2 linked regions of the Lytechinus pictus genome follow. Each later gene encodes a partner of the first gene's protein in a complex. Links are inferred from orthologs where the notes say so. Each region holds a gene or a part of one and is shown on either strand. Other genes may lie near its edges.

Evidence for each region.
Region 2: THO complex subunit 3-like (region 1) and SAP domain-containing ribonucleoprotein-like share a complex: the UniProt entries of both Homo sapiens proteins name them as parts of the transcription/export (TREX) complex. The link is inferred for Lytechinus pictus from reciprocal best matches to the Homo sapiens genes THOC3 and SARNP.

What each region holds. Positions count from the first base shown.
Region 1 is NC_087256.1:25,212,918-25,222,676, reverse strand, and holds the start of THO complex subunit 3-like, read left to right. Parts: upstream 1-5,704; 5' UTR 5,705-5,731; coding exon 5,732-5,914; intron 5,915-8,486; coding exon 8,487-8,643; intron 8,644-9,604; coding exon 9,605-9,759. Other genes in the region: eukaryotic peptide chain release factor subunit 1, read right to left, coding at 1,323-1,411. UniProt on the Homo sapiens protein: Component of the THO subcomplex of the TREX complex which is thought to couple mRNA transcription, processing and nuclear export, and which specifically associates with spliced mRNA and not with unspliced pre-mRNA.
Region 2 is NC_087257.1:27,958,706-27,969,091, forward strand, and holds the start of SAP domain-containing ribonucleoprotein-like, read left to right. Parts: upstream 1-6,270; 5' UTR 6,271-6,346; coding exon 6,347-6,370; intron 6,371-8,179; coding exon 8,180-8,338; intron 8,339-10,081; coding exon 10,082-10,161; intron 10,162-10,386. UniProt on the Homo sapiens protein: Binds both single-stranded and double-stranded DNA with higher affinity for the single-stranded form. Specifically binds to scaffold/matrix attachment region DNA. Also binds single-stranded RNA. Enhances RNA unwinding activity of DDX39A.

The DNA of each region.
Region 1 (9,759 bases):
ACACCCGTCATCACATGATCATGGTCATTACATTCACCATCAAATGATCAATGATCATGATCATATTGATGGTCATTCAATTTAATGATCACGGTGATTCCTGTTCTGTCGGTCTAGTAGTATTTATTGCCTTGGGCTTTGTCATTTCTCTGGACTGAAGTCATCCAACATGGAATGATGAACCTGCAACTGGCTTTAATACAACACAACAATGCCCAACGTAGACCAAAAGCTTCGGTCTCTGTTATGTTGATTGTTTCGCTGAACTCTGTTGGCTCCACTCACCAAATACAGAGACTGAAGTTCTAGCTCGATCTGTACAGGGACTCAATGGCCATATGTTAATGTATTGAGTTCGGATAAAACAGGGAAGTGAAGTTGCGCGACAGCCGAAGTCACTGTTTTTTCCCCCGTTTTGGTGCATTTCAGGCCAAAACGGTATAATCTTTATTTTGGTAGTTCTTTTTATATATTTTTATGAAATAAAGACAAAATCAATGAGCCCCGTCAGGGGGATTTTGCATTGTTAACCCCCTAATGGTGGCTGCACGATAGCGAGCCGTCTGTGTACGAGGAGAAATAAAAAAAAATAAAATGTTGAAAAACTCCTCGAAACAGACAGCTGCCAACTGTCTATGCCCAACCATGCCAACGTTACAACAAACAAGTAGACTAGAGACCTTGCTTGTAATGTATACTCGTTCTACTTTGCTTACCAATTCATCACTTGTTCACTGCAACCACCCTGCCTGTGGGGAATCTACAGGTTGGACTATGGCATGCCAATGCTGTACAGAGCACACACTTTAAAAAATGATTAAAATATCACTTTTGTGACCAAAATTACTAATTTCCGTACAGTTGCAATTTATTTTTCATTAGTAACTTGGGAATAATTTTTGTATTCACTAGAGCACTCAAAAACTTGAATTTTGGGCATATTTTTGTGTACGCCCTCTATTGGTGGAAAATAATTATAATATGGCAAGAAAATTTTCATTTTTTATCACTATTTCTAATTAAGAAAAAAATAATTTAAAGAATCAAATTTACTTAAGGGCCAAGTTGTATGACGAATAGGTGTAATGGAAACTGTCAGTGTAATTTGTAAAAAAATCAAGCATTTGTCCCCAAGAAAAAGAGAAAATAAGCCAAACATTGCCATCCTTATTTTGCCACACATGGAGATATATTTTAACTGAGAACAAGGTTATAATATATCACAACCTTGTTCATTGAATGAGCATGATGAGTGCCAATTCATAAGACAATAACAGTTCATGACCCTACCATTCATTGCCTACTCAATAATGAGAACATACCCTCTTGCTGCCTGTAAACTTTTGATCAGTTTCTTGATTTTCCATATTTCGACATTCCTGTCAGCTGCAGTTTCCTCCTGTGCAGACATCTTTCTCTTATTCTGTTCCTACTCCTTGTCTCTCTTTCTCCAATCAACACTCTTGTTCACCAATAATTAGTTCCACTAACAATAACAAGACTAAAGTGTTGATTTATATTATCAGATTTGGCAAGGTTGTTGCCTAGCTTTGAGTGTGCTTATTTATTTGCACACGTTTGGCCTTCTGCAGATCTATTCAATGCAATTCCAATGCCGGTTGGTTGCAACAAATGAATGAAACTCAATCAATGGCCCCAACACGCTGTATCGACAACAGCGTGTGGCTCGTCTTGAACTGTATATTTGAAGTTTAACAGTACAAAATTCCACGATCAAACCTATTCAGGATCTTGGTCGATTAACTTCAAATCAGTTCTGTTCCAAAATGATTTGCATCGAAAATCAAGAATATGAAACAATCGCCTTTCACAATATGTTGGACACAGCACGTCTTGATATTTCGCCCATGTGATGAAAGTTCGCGATTTCCAAATAAATGCAATATGTATACGACTCAACCGGAAGTACGTATAGGTCACAACGATAACTTACGAGGGACTTACCGGGGACATAAATCATTCTGAAACTAATATTCGTTCTTATTTTCCATATAAAAATCATAGTAAAAAGAAAGAGATTATTGAAATACGATGTCATTAAAATAAACGTGATTTTATAAGTTAAACAATGTGAATTAATCAACACAATATATCTCTCGTAGAAAGAAACCCCATACAATTTAATGGATTCGTCCATTGCCCTCTATTTCACCTTTCTTTCATCGTAATGGTACATGGTACCGTGATAACTGATATAATATATTTTTTGGCCAGGAGAGATCCATCAATGCTGATATATGCTAGAATAACTCACTTGCTTTCAATTAAAGATACTGACTATCCTAGCTCTCATCTCCCATTCCCTTTTAAGATATTTCTTTTAATTCATGATTTCTTTCTCAAATCGCAAGTATTTTTTTCCTGATTGAGCAGCCTCGATCTGGTGAGATGGTAGGTCAGCAGTGATCTATTTTAGTGGTAGAGACGTCATCTTCTAATCCAACTTTTCGGAAGCGCGCGCTCAGTCGCGCTCGACCGCTTTATAGAGAATGGTTGAAGACTTGACAGACTTGAGGTTAATAAAAATTGTTGGAGGTCTAGGGGCATATTGTAAAGGCCTATATATTCAAATTTAGATCAGCACAATTCAGCGCTAAACATTTTCAGAAGGCCCGGTCAAAAAGGTTTAGAAAGGGCCAGGAAATGGTTTTCTAAATAAATTAGGAAAAAGTTTTGAAAACATAAAGTCGCCGCGGTAGGCTAATGTTCTATTGAAAAAAAAAAACAGAAATCTAGTTGGAACTTTTAAGTTTTAACCCATGGGTTAAAACTATCGAGGTTTCATGATAAATTGCTATTATCATGAAACCTCGATTATATGGCCATTGTGCCCGGCGTTTATATGCTCCTTTGCAAGTATCCTTTTTTGTCTCTCGATCATAATTATATTCTCAAACCCTCAAACATACTTTTTAATATCATTTACATAGAAAAAATGAGTCATTTGTATTTGATTTTTGTTATAAATTCATATAATTCACATCAATAAAATAAACTCTTTATTAAACTTTTTTGGCTGCACGGATTTCTTTTTTTTTTTTAAGGCATTGTTTTTATCAGAGACCAAAAGTCTTACCCCAACAACAATTTGAATTGAATATATAAACAGGAGGGATAAAAATGAAACAAGCAAAATATTGAAAATTCCATTAAATCGGAAGAATTTTATTCAGCCGAGTGAAGAGAATTTATTGAAAGTATGAATATCATGTGTGTTTGTTATAAAACGGTATACTTTGGGGACAGAGGGGCCTGTACGTATATATGATAAAAAGCTTTTTTTAAGGATTTGGATATTTAAAATGGAATTTGAATAACATCGGGGAGACTTACTTTACCTCTTTCTACGTTTCTCCAGTTTTAGACCGTCCAATTTCATATAGGAGTCATTTGGATTTATTTATGTGCATTTAAATTCACACGTAAACGTTTTCCCGAAGAGCAGACAATGGGATTCATTTAAAGACACTAGAATTCATTTATAATCATTAAAAAAGCTATGGTCAATACAATTTCAAATTTGATCATTTCAAAATGTGTCATCAGTGATTTAGATTTCGTTCTAAGGCAAAGAGGTTCGCTAATGGTCTTACAAATTAACGAATGTACTTCTTAATTTTGGGCAATGTCGGAAATTCAGAAATTGCGCAATCAATAAATAAAAAATGACCGATACCTTGAGCAACCAATTTCATTTTTGAGAGTTCAAATTAATGATGCGCAAATCGTTTGTTTTGCATGGCATCTGTATGCTCATAATATGTGTCTAATATTAATGTATAAACATGTGTTTATAATACAATCAGAATTGTTTGAATTGTGGCTATTTGTTTAGCCCAAATTTGAATTTCCACAATATCCTTAGTTTTCATCATAAAAACAATTTATATTGCATCTTTTGCAACTTTTGCGTTTCCTTTACAAAGGTGTTAAGGGCTATTCTATATATTCTTCCTTTTCACCCGACAATGCTGACTGTGTGGGCATTTCCATTGATATTTACTTTCTTCTTTTTTGTTCTTTTCAAGTTTATTACAAGTCCCAAGGGCGGATCCAAGATCTTCCAAGGGGGGGGGGGCATTTTGTACAGAAAAAAAATGAGAACCTGAAAAAAAAACTACAAAATCGAGTTTGTGCAATTAAGGAAAAATTTGACAAGTAAAAAATGGGTCCCCAAATTGCCTATGCATGACACATTCCAGCAAAAAAAAAAACCTAATATTTTGTGCCTCTCAAAAGTGGATCCACCGCTGACGTGTCCCTGTATGATAATACTTTCAACTCTAGTCAATTTCATGGGTGATCATCTGTATGTCAAATTGTCAAGCATGACGGATTTGGAAGGGAATTGGAAGGGGCCTATATGGCTCCATTCCATCAATCCGCGGTGCCTTTATTCTAGGAAAACATTATTATTCTATAAAGTACATTTTATAACAGGAAAAGTAGACCTATGAATGCCCATTCCTTTAATTGCATGCTATTAATAAAAATGCACCAATTCGGGTGATACACTTACTAGAAGAAGAATATTTTGCAGAGATAATGAACCAAAAGTGCGGGAAAATGGTTATCCTTGCGAATTCGTTAAACATATTATGCTGCTTATCTAAATTCTCAGTAGTGACTTGTTTGATAGTTATTTTAAGCGGAAAATACATTCAAGTGACAAGTAATGAAATACATTGACAAATAACCGAGGTGATCATGGCTAACGCAAAATTAAATTAAATTAAATTACATTATTTAGATGAAATTGAGCGGGAAAACCTATCATTCATCTACCGTCCTCTCTCTTAGGTTTATTATAGGCCTAGTCTTCCTATCTGACCATGCATGCATTTCTGTACCCTTCTTTGTTTTTGTTTATATAAAAAAATATAGGCCCTATATAACAATGATGATGATGATGACAGTGATGAGAGTGCTGATTGTGATAATTATCGTCATCATCATCATCATCCTCATCATCCTCCTCCTCATCATCATCATATCATCATCATCATCATCATCATATCATTATCATACTTACTTCTGGATACTTATGGAACAACTGAACGAAGTCATTATGACTCTGCATTCAGTTTCAAATTCCTTCTCCTCTTTAGGTTGGCCGGATCATGTCCTGGTGGGTCAGTGTCAAACTTGAACTTCACTGGTTCACATCTTGTCCAGTCCATTCTCAAAGACACTATGGGGGCATAACTAATTCATTACTGAGACTATTCCATGGTTTTCTCATTCTAATGTAAAAAGATTTCTTTTCTTTTTTCAGTGACTGATCTTAATGAGATAAACAATTATTTTATCATGACCTCGATAGTCCCATGCAACTGACCCAGATCTGGCACTACTCCTGCATGGAACTTGTAAGTTTCAATCATATCCCCTCGCGCACGGCGGTATGTCAAAGTAGGGAATTTAGTTCAGGATCAACCTTTGTTCGTATGGAAGTTGTTTGTTTTTTGGTTTTTTTAACCTCATAATCCAATTTAGTGGCCCTTCTTTGTACATTTTCTAGTGCATGAATATGTTTCTTCAAGTAGGACTCAATACGGCATGTGCATACTCTAAATGTGGTCTAATCATCACCGGGCATCATCACCATCATCATCATCATCATCATTATCATCAATGACGAGAAATAATGGGTCTACGATACATTCACCTTTTCAATAGGAATCCCCAAATTAGCGTACCATACATCAAGATGGCAGCTTCCACAGAAAACATGATTAAAAAACATTTCGAGAAGAATTGTCGAACAAAAGAACATAATGGGGTTCACTCATCGAAAGTTCACTCTGTAGCATGGAATTGTGATGGCACTATGCTTGCATCCGGATCGTTTGATAGAAATGTTTGTGTCTTTTCGCTGGATAGAGATAGGATGGTGAGTTATGTCTGAATATGACTGACTGCCGATGCCGCGCCGTGTCGCGTCGCTGCACTCTTAATCTTATCTCGCTAACCCAGGCCCAGGGAGCACCGGCCCGCTTGGCCGATTACACGAAAGGGTCTTGCAGGACCAAGCCCAAGGACCGTCTTTCGTGTCGCCCATCTTTTATTATTCGCTATATGCGGGATATTTCTGAAATGTATGATAAACAAATAAAATTTGTTAGCTAGAATTAAAATCAATTTGTATACAATTCAATTCATGATTTTCGATTCTCGTGTGTTCTCAAAGTCATGGCTCATGCCATGGAATTTTTTTGCTGTCTACGATACCCCTGCCCACCTAGCCAGGCGGCTTCTACTATAGTACTAGTTCTAGAGAGTAAAAATCATTTACTAACGTAAGGTTACTCTCATACGAAGCCAGGCCTTCTATCTCATAGACCCACACAAAGGAAGCCAAAACCTGAAACTTTCACCTCCGAGATTTCTACTTTCCTTCTAAAAGATCTAGCTCTAAATCATGTACATGGGATAAAACTTCATTTCCGACATTTCTACGTTCTCGTTGTTATTTTTAAAACAAGAATTCATCAAAAAAATGAAAAAATATTGTGAAAAGACGGAAGAGACTTGCCCGATGTTTACGCCGCCATCTTGTTTCTTATTGTACTTCCCCAACGTTACGGAGGAAGAAGATGATGATTTGTTTTGATCTCCGACATAATCGGAGGAAGGAAAAGAAGATAATGACGTTGCAGCGCGCGACACTATCCGAAGTTGTTTCTGATGATATTCACTTTCTCTACAAGTTACATCGTAGTGATGGCGGAGGTAATCGTAAACCCTTAGAGGACGCATGACTTACCGAAATAGACGCACTATTATCCTAAATTGTTTACGATGATATTCTTCTTGTCTTGTCTTGTCTTTCCGTTAATGCCCACAATCATTACAATGATTATTATGGCATATGAACGTCAAGATTGACTTGACCTTCACCTTCTCTACAACATCATAGTGATGGCAGAGGTGATCGTAAAACTCTTAGAGGACGCATGACCTACCGAAATAGACGCACTACAATCTGAAGTTGTTTCCGATGATATTGACCTTCTCTACGACATCGTGGTGATGGCGGAGGCAATCGTGAACTCTTAGAGGACGCATGACCTACCGAAAAAGACGCACTATTATCCAAAGTTGTTTACGATGATATTCACCTTCTCCCCAACATCGTAGTGTTGGCGGAGGTAATCGTAAACTCTTAGAGGTCGCATGACTCACCGAAATAGACGCACTACTATTCGAGGTTGTTTACGATGATATTCACCTTCTCTACAACATCGTGGTGATGGCGGAGTCCGTCGTGAACTTTTAGAGATCGCATTACTTACCGAAAAAGACGCACTATATGGATGAAGGTCTATCTAAACACAGAATCCTGACATTGAGGCACAAACTTGACCCTCAAAAAAAGGAAAAGTTACATCTAACTTTAGATCTAGATCCTCTTTGTTGCGTTTTTATCTCTCGCTTTCAAAATTGAAAACAAAATGGCCGATTGATACCGTGAACGAACGCGAGAACTAATGGTCATACATGTATTAGGCACAATTGAATAAGACATTTTAGGAATTAAAAAAATGAATAAAATAGATTAAAAAAGGATTAAAATTTGTTTGAGACAATTTGATTGCTCAAGTTATAACTGATATCAGCATCAATAATAAACTGTCAAACCGTATGTCAAAATTATCTAGTTTGCTTTAGTTTAGTTAGAGTTAATGTGGAAGTAGAAGAAGTGGAATTCTTTTTTTTTAGACCCTACTTGTCTCTTCGGGACAAGTCTGACTCTGAGACCCGACCAAGTTCTTTGCCATTTTCAGTTATTTGACATTGATATCCATGATAGCAGATGTTTAGCATTTAAATAAATTCAAGGCGCAAATCAAAGTTTTCTGCTATTTTCACAATTTCGAAGTTTTGTATTTTTTGATATTTTTGCCAATTGCCTGCACATGGATCTAATGGCATGCATTTGCCATATTGCTAAGTTTTTTCCTAAGCAGAGGTGCAGCATGCGATCAGCAACAGCAACAATATTGAGGGGAAAAAAATTGATAGAGCAGGGCCTTGATTAATAGCTTGAAGCTAGAAGTTCCTAAAGTAAGTCAAAGTAGTACATCCCTTATGATCCCTGTAATTCAAGATACATGTGAACTTGCAAGTTGTATAAAGTAGACCTTTCTTTAAGTTGAATATTCACCCAACTTGAAGCACTTTTTAGACCGGATTATGCAAAACATGTACTCGTATTCCTCGTTTAAGTCTAGATTGTGGGAAAGGTACTGGTACATGGGCCATCTTTATTGCAGATTATTTGTTGAATAATTCTGAGAAAGACCCATGGTCAATGCACCCATTCAAGGCAAGTGAGGGAAGGAATGCTTGCCAGGAATATTGCATTCAATGGAAACAAAATCAAATCTTTCTTCATGTTCAACTACAGATGATTCTTGTAGACAGCACATAGTTTTCTTGTTATGAATTTTTCTTCACCGTAGACCAGAGAAGCAACGTACAAGGGTCATGTCGGCAGTGTGGATCAGTTGTGCTGGCATCCCAGAAATCCAGATGTGTTTGTGACCGCATCGGGAGACAAGACGATCAGGATATGGGATACCAGGTCTGCCAAGTCTATATCAACTATAGCTACAAAGGGTATGCTCAACTATTTTTGATTTAATTTTAGCTATTTCATTCTTTTTTTTACACTGACCCAAAGGAAACCAATATGTTTGGTCTTTTAATCATGTTTGAATAATAATAATAATATAGGTATATTTACCCAGGGAAGCCACCTCAGTTCTGAAAACTGTTCTCCCAGCGGGCCCTGCTATTATTATTGCCTCGGCTTTAGCTGGGCTGCCTAGGTGCAAAGCATTCAAGGAATATCTTCCTACCGGGTACCCATTAAACATACCTGGGTTGAGTGTGCGGCACAGTGGATAAATTTCTTGCTGAAGGAAATTACGTCATGGCTGGGATTCGAACCCACGACCCTCTGTTTCAAAGTCAGAAGATTAATCCACTGGGCCACAACGCTCCACAACGCAAATAAGGCCCAATCAATTGCTGTGTTGTATTCTGTGATACCCATAGGCTTTGTCCTTGGACCAACATGCTGGTTCGAGTAGACAATCGATTACTTGAGTTTTAGAGAGAGCAAGGATAGGCATATTTATTGTAATATCAATTGTTTGATTAGAAGAGATGTTGAGATTCTAAACTTGTGAAGTTTTCAGCTTGCAACTTGTCACAAGAGAAGTTGTTGATGTTAATGTCAGATAGTACCTTATTATTTGTTAATATTGAATGGTCATAATAGTTACCAGCAACCTGTAACTTCAAAAGATCCCACAAGTATTTAGAATCAATTGTAATGCACTGTACATGTATTGCCATAAACCCACAGATACAATCACTTGTAAAATTGATTCGATTGATTTAATGTTGCAGGGTCAATGTGTGATGCACTTAATTGTGCTTCCACCATCATAAGAATATTATAAAACTGGAAGAGCAACATTAAAGAGCTACTTTATACTAGATTATAATGTCCATATCCATGGATTAGGAAAATTTCATTATTTGAATTTTTCATATCCTTGCATTTCGTTAGGTGAGAACATCAACATTTGCTGGAGTCCTAACGAGCAGTACATCGCTGTCGGCAACAAGGATGACCTTGTGACCTTTGTAGATGCTAGATCTAATCGTATCATCAGCGAGGAACAATTTAAGTATGAAGTGAATGAGATCTCTTGGAACAACGAC
Region 2 (10,386 bases), on another chromosome or scaffold:
ACAAAAAGGCAAAAGGTTAGCCTACATAGCAAATAATGCGAGCGCACAAAATGTTGCAAATGTTGATTCACACCATAAAACGGACATTTTCCAGAGCACTTAAAAAAAAAACATTGGCAAATAAAACAAAAAAAATGAAAGATCGATGTCCGAGCTGAATTATGTTTTGTATATTGACTTCAAAACTTTATCTTTTGAACTATATATCAGCCTATATTGACCGAGATATGTATCTCATCGAACAGGCAATGCGAGCGTGATGCGCGAGCGAAATTTTAATATAGTGACATTAAATACTTAAAAAAAATTTCAAGTCTTCTCCTGACCTTATTTTATTCACTCGTCTTCCTCCTTTTATCTTTCCCCTTCTTTTTTTCTTTCTTTCCCCGTTTTTTCCCAATTTATTTGCTCCGTCAATAGGGGGAGGGGCCCTCGGGCCCCCTGGATTCGCCTATGTTAGTAGTTGTTATGATGAACACGATGCATATCTATTAAGAAATTAATGCGAGCGCGAAGTGCTAGCTGAAAACTTTTATAATGATAAAATGAAAAATACATTTTCAGTTGTCAGGTTAGAATATCAAATATTTTCAGCTTGTGCTTCTCGTTCTCTTAAAAAAAACTGCGAGGTCGGGATGCGTATATAACTAAACAATGTATTGATGCCAGCGCGAAGCGCGAGCTCAATTTTTTATATACTGACTTAAGAAGGACTAAGGTATAATTCCTATTCTAATTGCTTGTCCCTTTTCTCTTCGTTTTCTGTTTCTTACCCTTTTTTTGCGCCACCATGGGGGGGGGGGGGGCAAAATCTTTGCCCCGTGGATCGGCCTATGTATGTTGACTTGAAGAACACTAACACTTACATGTAGGATTGATGCAGATGATGCATACCTCATTGATGAAATATTGCGAGCGCGTAGCGCGAGCTGAATTTGATAATAACCCCTTTTTGTGACCCTGAACAGGATATCTATCTCGCTAAACAGACTTAAAACTTGAAAACATTGTTTTTGTCTATTATAATTATCGTAAAAACGGGATATTTTAATTCAGCCGCATTAATTTAAGCTTTTTGGGCAGGACATATATTTCACTATAAACAGGCAATACGAGCAATGTTGCGCCCCCGGTCGAAAATGAATTTGCATGAAGCAACCTAAGTTCAAGGTCAATTTGGCGCCCTCGGTTGAACATAAACTTGGCGCCCCCATGTGAAATATAACTTTGCCCCCCCCCCCTTCTGAAACATGTATTTGTCGCATTATGGTCAAAATTCAAATTAGCGCTCCTCTATAGTTCGAACATCAATATGGTGCCCCGCTAGATCGAACATCAATTCGGCGCTCCCATAGTTCGAACATCAATTTCGCGCCCCCCCCCCCTCCCAGTTCAAACATCAGTTCGGCGCCCCATAGTTCGAATGTTATTTTGGCGCCGCCTATAGTTCGAACATCAAATCGACGTCCGGGTCAACATCTCCCTCTTTCGTTTCCCATCTCCTTTTTTTTTTTCTCTCTCTCTTATCCTCAATCCCCTTCCTTTCTCTTTCTTTCTCTCTTTCTTTCCCCCTCTTCCTCTCCCCTTTTCTTCTTTTCCTTCCTCCTCTCTCTCTCTCCTTGTCTTCTCTTTATTTCCCCCTTTTCTTCTCTTTTTTCTTGTCTTCCTTTCTCCCTTTTCTTCTCTTTTCCCCTATCTTTTCTTTCCCACTTTTCTTCTATTTTTTCCCGTCTTTTCTTTCTCTCTTTTCCTCTCTCTTTTCTCTTTTTCTCCTTTTCCTTCTCCCCTTACTCTCTCCTTTTTTCTTCTCTTTTCCTCTATTCCCCTCTCTCTCTCTTTTCTTATCTTTCTTCCCATCTTCCTCTCTTTTTAAATATTATTCTCTTCCTTCCCCTTTTCTTTCTCCTTTCTTTTCCCTCTTCCGCTTTTTTCTTTTTCCCCCTTTTTTCTTTTTCTTTCCTTTCCCCCTTTTTCTCTTTTAATTTTTTTCTTCTCTCCCTCTCCTTCCCCCTCTCTCTTTTTCTTCTCTTCTTTTCCCCTCTTCCTCTCTCTCTCTCTTTTTCTTATCTTTCTTCTCATCTTCCTCTCTATTTAAATATTCTTCTCTTCCTTCCTCTTTTTTCTTCTTCTTTTTCCTCCTTTTCCTTTCTCCTTTCTTTTCTTCTCTTCCTTTTCCCTCCTCTCTTTTTTTCTCTTCTCTTTCCCCTTTTTCTTCTCCCTTTTCCCGTCTTTTCTGTCTCTCTTTTCCTCTCTCTTTTCTCTTTTTCTTCTCTTCCTTCCTCCCCCTTACTCTCTTTTCTATTCTCTTCTTTTCCCATCTTCCTCTCTCTCTTTTCCCCTCTTCCCCCTCTTTTTTTTGAGCTAGGGGTGAGGCAGTTCCCCCTCGGCCCCCCATGGATCCGCACCTGATAGAACCCCATGGTCTCGTATCATTTGACCTTTGGACCTCTCGATGACATTTGATACATCTGATCATAATTTTACACACACTGCGAACTATCGGACCCGCGGTCTATCGGACCCGCGGTCTATCGGACCCGCGGACTATCGGACCCGCGGTCTATCGGACCCGCGGTCTATCGGGATGTCCCCCTTCATCCATGACATGCAAAAAGTACAAAATTTCACTTCGTGTACTTCCCTTTATTTTGTGGGTACCATTTTAATCCTTTCCCCCAGTGATTAATTGATTACAGTGATTAATTTTATTATGTCACAATAAACCAAATTATGACAGTTTATGCACTCCCAAGAAATAGTGTTTACGGGCCGGCCGGTCTATCGTCTACACACAGACCACACAGACTTCGCACAGTTCGGTCAAGGCGGTACGCGTATCAAACGGTGCCAAATATACGGAAATTGTGAGGAGCGCTTTTCCTATGAAAGGAATTGATATGCATTATTAGGGCTTAAAACTTGACCAAAAAAGGTTATCGCCCCAAATTCGAGAATATGGACCCATGTTTAAGGCCAATATCTAACAAGGCAAAAGCAATTTTGTGTCTCGCCCACTTATGAAAATGACCAGAAATATCGTGATTTGCGAGGGCACGCAAGAGAATTATATCGAAACTTCATTGTGAAATGACTGGGATGGAATAACACTTGTCATAAGAGCCTTGTACATAAACTTTAAGGTTGACCTGCAAATGACCTTTGACCTTACCAGGTGACCTCTGACTGCAGCATAACATGCAGGTCCCCCAAGTCCATCTACCATCCAAGTTTGGTTGAAAATCGACTTACGGTTGTGGAGTTATGTGTCATTAGATTTGTGACGGACGGACGACGGACGACATTTGGATCCCTAAGTCTCGCCTTCACCTCCGGTGGGCGAGACAAAAATTGGGGGCATGAACCCATGTATCTAAAAGCAAGTATCTAAAAATTTGGGCCATGCATGTTTAGGGATTTTCCAGCATAAAACCATACCCCATGTTTAGAGATTTCCCGGAGATTTCTTCCAAAAGAGCGACCCATTTCAGCGGCACATCCCCGTATACCTTATTTCGTAAGTCCCCCCCCCCTCCCCTGGCTCTAATTGTATTCAAAATTTTCTGAACTCTTAAGATATTTGACTTGCACGTAATTAATTTCCTCGTAATTTTTCTCTTATGGCTCGACTGTATTGATCTTTTATTTTCACTTTGCCGATACCATAATAAGACTCGTGAAACGAAAATGTGTAGATTATCTATTATCTAAAAGTCAGATCCGACTTGAAGAGAAGCGATTATCACATAAAGGGTCGTAATCAGTCATGTGTTCATTGGAGTCAGGAAAATAGGGGGTGAGATTTGACGTAAGTGGGAGAAGTAGGTTGATGGGAAAAGGGTCAACAGAACATTTTAGCCCCCCTCCCTCTCTCTCGCCCTCCCCTTCTGTTGAGTGACTGATTTTTATTGTCATGTACGTGTGAAGTCCAGAGCAGAATGTTAATTTAATTAATTAATGATAATTAATTAATGATAATTGGGGCATCAACTTTTCCTATCAATCAACAATTTATCAATAAATCAACTATTTCAGTGGGCAATGTAATCAATCAAACGTTCAGTTTTTCAATAAAGTATTTCATAAATTATAATCAAGTCAATTTCTTGGTAATCATTCAATAAAAAGAAGAAAAAAATGACTATCAGCCACTGGTCACTTCAGTGGCAAATAAGTTTTGAATAGGCTACCATCCAGGAAGTGAGAGGGGTCTGGGAAATTGAGGGGGGGGTGGAGATACATAAGAATTTAATTTGTAAAATGACAAAAAGATGATGAATGCCCTTTCAACCAAGTCTTACCATATCTCGCCCTCTCGCTTGTAACAGGTACCATCACATTACTCCGACTCACAAAACACACTGCTTAGGTCTACAAGATGAATAGGCTACACTAAATTTACAATTCCTGTTCACTCAACCATCATTCTTACAAGATTCAAAAATCATATTTGTTGGGGAAAATCCAGCATAAGTGTTACCTTCCCCTTAAAAATCCCAAACTTAGGATTTTTTTAAAGAAGTCACCATGCAATCAAATTTTGCCTCATTGTGATGTCAACCATACGATAAATAAGACATAAGGAGAAAAATTCGTCCATAATTGACATCGTATACAATTATGTTACCTGGTTATTGATCATTCGTTCTCTGTATATGAGGTTCATGGGTCGAATCGCGAACCAACTAAAGAGAGTTGCAGCTCCGTAATTAGCTTGAAGTAGAAGTTCGCCTTGGTGAGAAACACTCATGAAACTGTTCAGTCTAGGACATACCTTTAATTTTCAAATGAAATTCAATCTCGACAAGCATGCCCCTTCCCCCACTGTCATGCCATCACAATCGCCATAATCATAATCATTGTAATCATCAAAACTAGGATTATTATCATAATTAATCTCAGCACCTTCATCACTGTCATTATCACCGTCATCATCATAAAACATTAATACATTCATCATAAAACATTAATAAATCATCACCGCGGGCGGCGGAGCAGAGGATATATCCTTTGTTCATAGGGTGCATCATTATTATGTTTATAGATTAAAAAACAAAAAAATGTTATTATCGTCATCATTACCACCGCTTTCATCCTCATCCTCCTTATCCTTCTTCATTATCACCAACATCATTATTACCATCACCATTATATCATCCTCGATCATCATTCCGTTTTCACAAACGCTGACTACTTGTAGTAGTTCCGTCATTGGACAATGTGGTTTGGGAGGATTCATTGGGGTCAAGAAAGCACAATTAGAGATTATCAGAGATCGTTGCGTAACTTCAGTTGAAACGGATTCTTCCTATTGTTAGTTGTTAATTGTAATTTTCACACCTTCTTTGTTCGCAACACATGCGAGACGGTGTAGTTAATCGAACCCATTCAAGTCGCTCCGGGGCATTCACTTCAAAGCTTCAAAGGGACTTTAAGAGTTATCTTTCCTAAAACGAAGTAAATCAAGTGCATTGGGGTCTTGAGAATAATTTAAACAAATTCTTGACCACTACGAACTACTCAAAGAACGAATAACAAAGGAGATTAAGAACAGAACATGACTGGGAAATGGGAATGGATGAGGATTTCAATAAGTTGTATGCATAAATACGAATGCTAGTACCCATGAGCATTGGAGGATGCAGGCGGGGGGGGGGGGGCACAGTCGGTCCATGCCCCCTTTTGAGAAGCAAAATAAAAATTTATAATGTAAAAATGCAAGTCAATCTTCATCATTTCATAATTTCAAATCAATACTCGTTTCTTCATCATTTTGAGTTATTTTAAGAAATATACAAGTAATTTGCTCAGCCATTTCATGATATTAAGAGAAGTCATAACAAATATTGAATAATGAACATTGCTTTATCCAAGTTTCCATCCTCATTATTTTGCGTTCCTAATGCCTCGGTCATATTTGCTCTACGGCGGCCGTACGGTGAGTCGGAAACACCTGTTTTATCCATTTTTATTCAGACCACGTGTTTGTAGCTATTACAACAAAAAAATGTTAAAACGGTTGTTTTTGACTCGCCGCACGGCCGTCATAGAACAAAATTAGTGGGTTTTCGCCCAGCGTCGTACGACGTAGAACGTACGTGTGCAAAAATCGCCAACTTTCATGGAAACAGAGGCCCGAGCGTTCTTGAGCTCAAATCACGGACGGTTCTTCCGCAAATTAGCGGGCGTCCGCATTAGAACGTAGGATTTGTCAACAGCCGTCAACAGCCAATCAGATCGCTTGTAGAGCGAGCAAGCTGAGCCGATCGATGTAAACACATTCGCCCATCGCGTGCATGCACATGTTGTACTCTACTCTGACTACACTGATAGCTGAAAGCTTCAAAACATGGACTCGAATGCGATTTTTTCGGTGAGTACCATTTCAATTATACTAAAATCAAGCTAAGTATAATTTCAAAATGTTACAGTAGAAGTTTAAACGAGTATGATTATTGAAATATGATTGAAAAGCCGTTGCATGGCTCGGTCGACGACGCGACTGCAAGACACATGGCACTGCCAGTTGTGTGCACATAGTAGGAACATATACAATGCACATGTTGGCGTGTCAACATTACATGCCAACCATGCCAGCCGGTGGATCCGGCCGCGTTCAGCGATTTGCGAAACTGCTTACAAGCGAGAGTTGAGCGCGACGGACGCACGAACAAAGAGATCGTTCTACGTCGTAGATAGCGTCGTACGACGCTGGGCGAAAACCCACTAATGACCGAGGTAAGGTCAGGGAATGTTGCAGGAGTTCACCCCCCCCCCCCTCCACTTAGATAAAAAAAAAATTGCTTGTAATTTTTTTGTTATGAAAAGACCTAATGGGGGGGGGGGGGGAGTGAAAACCTCTGTCAAATTTTCATTGAACTCGAACTCTACCTTTCAAAAATTCTGCGTAGGCTACTGCAAAAGCTAGAGCTATTGGAGCTATACGTAGCGTAAAGAGAATTTTGTTTCATAGCGGCAAAGCTCTGCCTCAAATACCTTGTATTGTGTATGCTTGCGCGCACATGGTATCTATCAAACTGATATTAAGCGTGCGGGTATACCGCAAGAACGATACTGAGTCGTGACTAAACTTTTCTGAGGACTAATTCGGAGGAATCAAGTACAAGTGACAATGCGGCCGTATTTGTCAGCGCTTTTGGAATTGTTATAGGCACGGTTGTAGTCACATCTTCAGGAGCGAACAGAGCTCTGCAAGCTGATTCAGTGGGTCCAGCGCCTGTAGACGTTGTGCGCGGTCGCCGCGGTTGATCGAACGCTTTGACGGATCGCATTTTACTTCCGCTGGTAGCCAAAACTAAATTTATTTCCCTTTCCATCTTTGTCAGGAATTTACGGGAATTATATACATATTTTTGGAAGCTCACATCATCAGGTACTAATACCTTGGTCACATTTGCTCTAGGGCGGCCGTACGGCGAGTCGAATGCAGCCGTTTTATTCATTTTTATACAAACCACATTATGTAGCTCGTACATAAAATGTTAAAACGGCTGTTATTGACTCGCCGTACGGCCGCCGTATAGCAAATGTGACGAAGGTGTAAGCATGAATAAGCGATTCGCCGGAGCAAAATTTTTGCGTCCAGGTTCTTGTCCCTTTGAATACTTGTCACGCCTTCCAACCAATTAATTACGGCACACATCGTCATTCATTGTACTAGTAGTTGCACCCTCACAACATTTCACGGCAAACAATTGAGATAAGGAACTTCTCTACACGCGCCAATAAATTCCTCTAGGCTTGCCATCCCAATGCCCGGGAACAATAGAAGTGCCAGAACGCGACTGCACGGGCTCGTTATGTCACTCCGCGATGATCGCAAGGGTGCTCTATTGATATGCAAATTCAACCTCATTAACTTCGTGGCGTGCAAGCCCGTGCATGAAAAGTAATGAGGGCGTGCAAACGCGTTTGCACACCCCTCCCGGATATTGACGTCCCGCCTTATGAATGAAGAGAGAAAGATCAATCATGCATTCTCACTGCAAGTTTCATTGAAATTGAACATCAAATAATGAAAGTTATTGTATTTTTAATTTTCTCTTATTTTCACAATACATTTCTTGACATCAAGACATCATTGACTCTCATCTTTGCTTATCCCCTGTGTAAAGCAAAACCTTTGAGTATATTTATTCCTCATTTCTACATGTTTCATTAGGACCTTGATGCTGGAGATATAGGGGAAGAAGAAGAAGCTGTTGTCACAAGAAAAGTAGAATTAGAAATAGAAGAGGAGGAGGAGGTGGAAAGGGAGGTCAAAGCACCTGAAATCAAGAAGGTTATCTCACCTACTGCTAAACCAGTATCAGATGTCGAGGTAAGAGTGATCAAGCAATAGATCGGAGATACACGCATTTGTTAACTATCATGGTTAAAACCTTAGAAGGGGGGGCTAAAACAGAGACGCCAACTAGTACTAATTTTCAGTATCCAGTACTGAACAATGAGAAGAATACTGATGGTTTCATGCAAAATACTGGTTTCTTAAGATTCCGTTTATGAGTTGGCCTACGGTATTTCTTTGAAGCTACTTATTTCCTCACCAAAATACAGATTTTTGTCTCGCCTGCATAGCAGAGCGAGACTATTAATAGGCGCCGCTTTTCCGACGGCGGCGGCAGCGTCAACATCAAATCTTAACCTAAGGTTAAGGTTTTGTAATGACATCATAACTTAAAAAGAATATGGACCTAGTTCATGAAACTTGGCCATAATGATAATCAAGTATTACTGAACATCCTGCCTGAGTTTCAGGTCACATGACCAAGGTCAAAGGTAATTTAGGGTCAATGAACTTAGACCATGTTGGGAGAATTATTTTCAAAATCTTAACCGAAGGTTAAGTTTTTGAAATGACATCATAACTTAGAAAGTATATGGACCTAGTTCATGAAACTTGGGCATAAGGTTAATCAAGTATTAGTGAACATCCTGCTCGAGTTTCAGGTCACGTGACCAAGGTCAAAGGTCATTTAGGGTCAATGAACTTTGGTCAAGTTGGTGGTATTTGTTGAATTACTATCATAACTTTGAAAATTTATGGATCTAGTTCATGAAACTTGGACATAAGGTTAATCAAGTATGAGTGAACATCCTGCCTGAGTTTCAGGTCACATGACCAAGGTCAAAGGTCATTTAGGGTCAATGAACTTTGGCCAAGTTGGGGGTATTTGTTGAATTACCATCATAACTTTTAAAATTTATGGATCTAGTTCATGAAACTTGGACATTAGGTTAATCAAGTACCACTGAATATCCTGTGCGAGTTTCAGGTCACATGACCATAGTCAATGGTCATTTAAGGTCAATGAACTTTGGCCGTGTTGGTGGTATTTGTTAAATTACCATCCTAACTCTGAAAGTTTATGGATCTAGTTCATAAAACTTGGACATAAGAGTAATCAAGTATCACTGAACATCCTGTACGAGTTTCAGGTCACATGACCATGGTCAAAGGTCATTAAAGGTCAATGAACTTTGGCCATGTTGGGGGTATTTGTTGAATTACCATCCTAACTCTGAAAGTTTATAGATCTAGTTCATAAAACTTGAGATATAAGAGTAATCAAGTATCACTGAACATCCCCTGTGAGTTTCAGGTCACAAAACCAAGGTCAAAGGTCAATTAAGGTCAATAAACTTAGGCCATGTTGGGGTAATTGTTGAATTGCCATCATAACTTTGAAAGTTTATGGATAGAGTGAATGAAATGTGGACATGGGTGTAGTTGACAAGTCTTAAGTCACCGTTCAAATGTCATTTATGGTCAATGAACGTGGTATTATGTCATTATATGAATGGTGTTTTTGTGAATGATTATGTTATTGTAGTTTTCAAAGTTAGCACTGCTGCTATATTAAATCGCGTAATGCAGGCGAGACTGCCAGAGGCGTTCCACTTGTTAGCTTTAAAATACTGAAATGTTCCTGTCAGGGTTGGCATCTCTGCTAAAAGGCCTATTAACCTATTCATAGATTTAGGAGAAGTTGTTGTGATATACATGTATGGTGTGTACATTAATTTACAATTGTTTTCCCCTCTATTGTTCTCAATACAAAAGAAAAAGGCTTTACGAGCTCAGAAGTTTGGAGTTGCAGCTTCACTATCAGATGCAGACAAGAAGAAAGCAAGAGCAGAAAGGTAGACTTTAGAAAGTATTTTATTTTCTGAAAAATCATGAAAATGTTCTGGAAAATCATTGTTATATTTGTTTTTTGAGTGAGCAAGATCACAATTTGTCCATCCATGCTGGCAGGATATCAGACTCTGCTCTATTGTGTAACCGATTATGATTAAAATTTGTAGTGATCAACAAGTCGTATAAACGTTTTTATGCTGAAATGTCTGAGAACTATGGAAATGAAT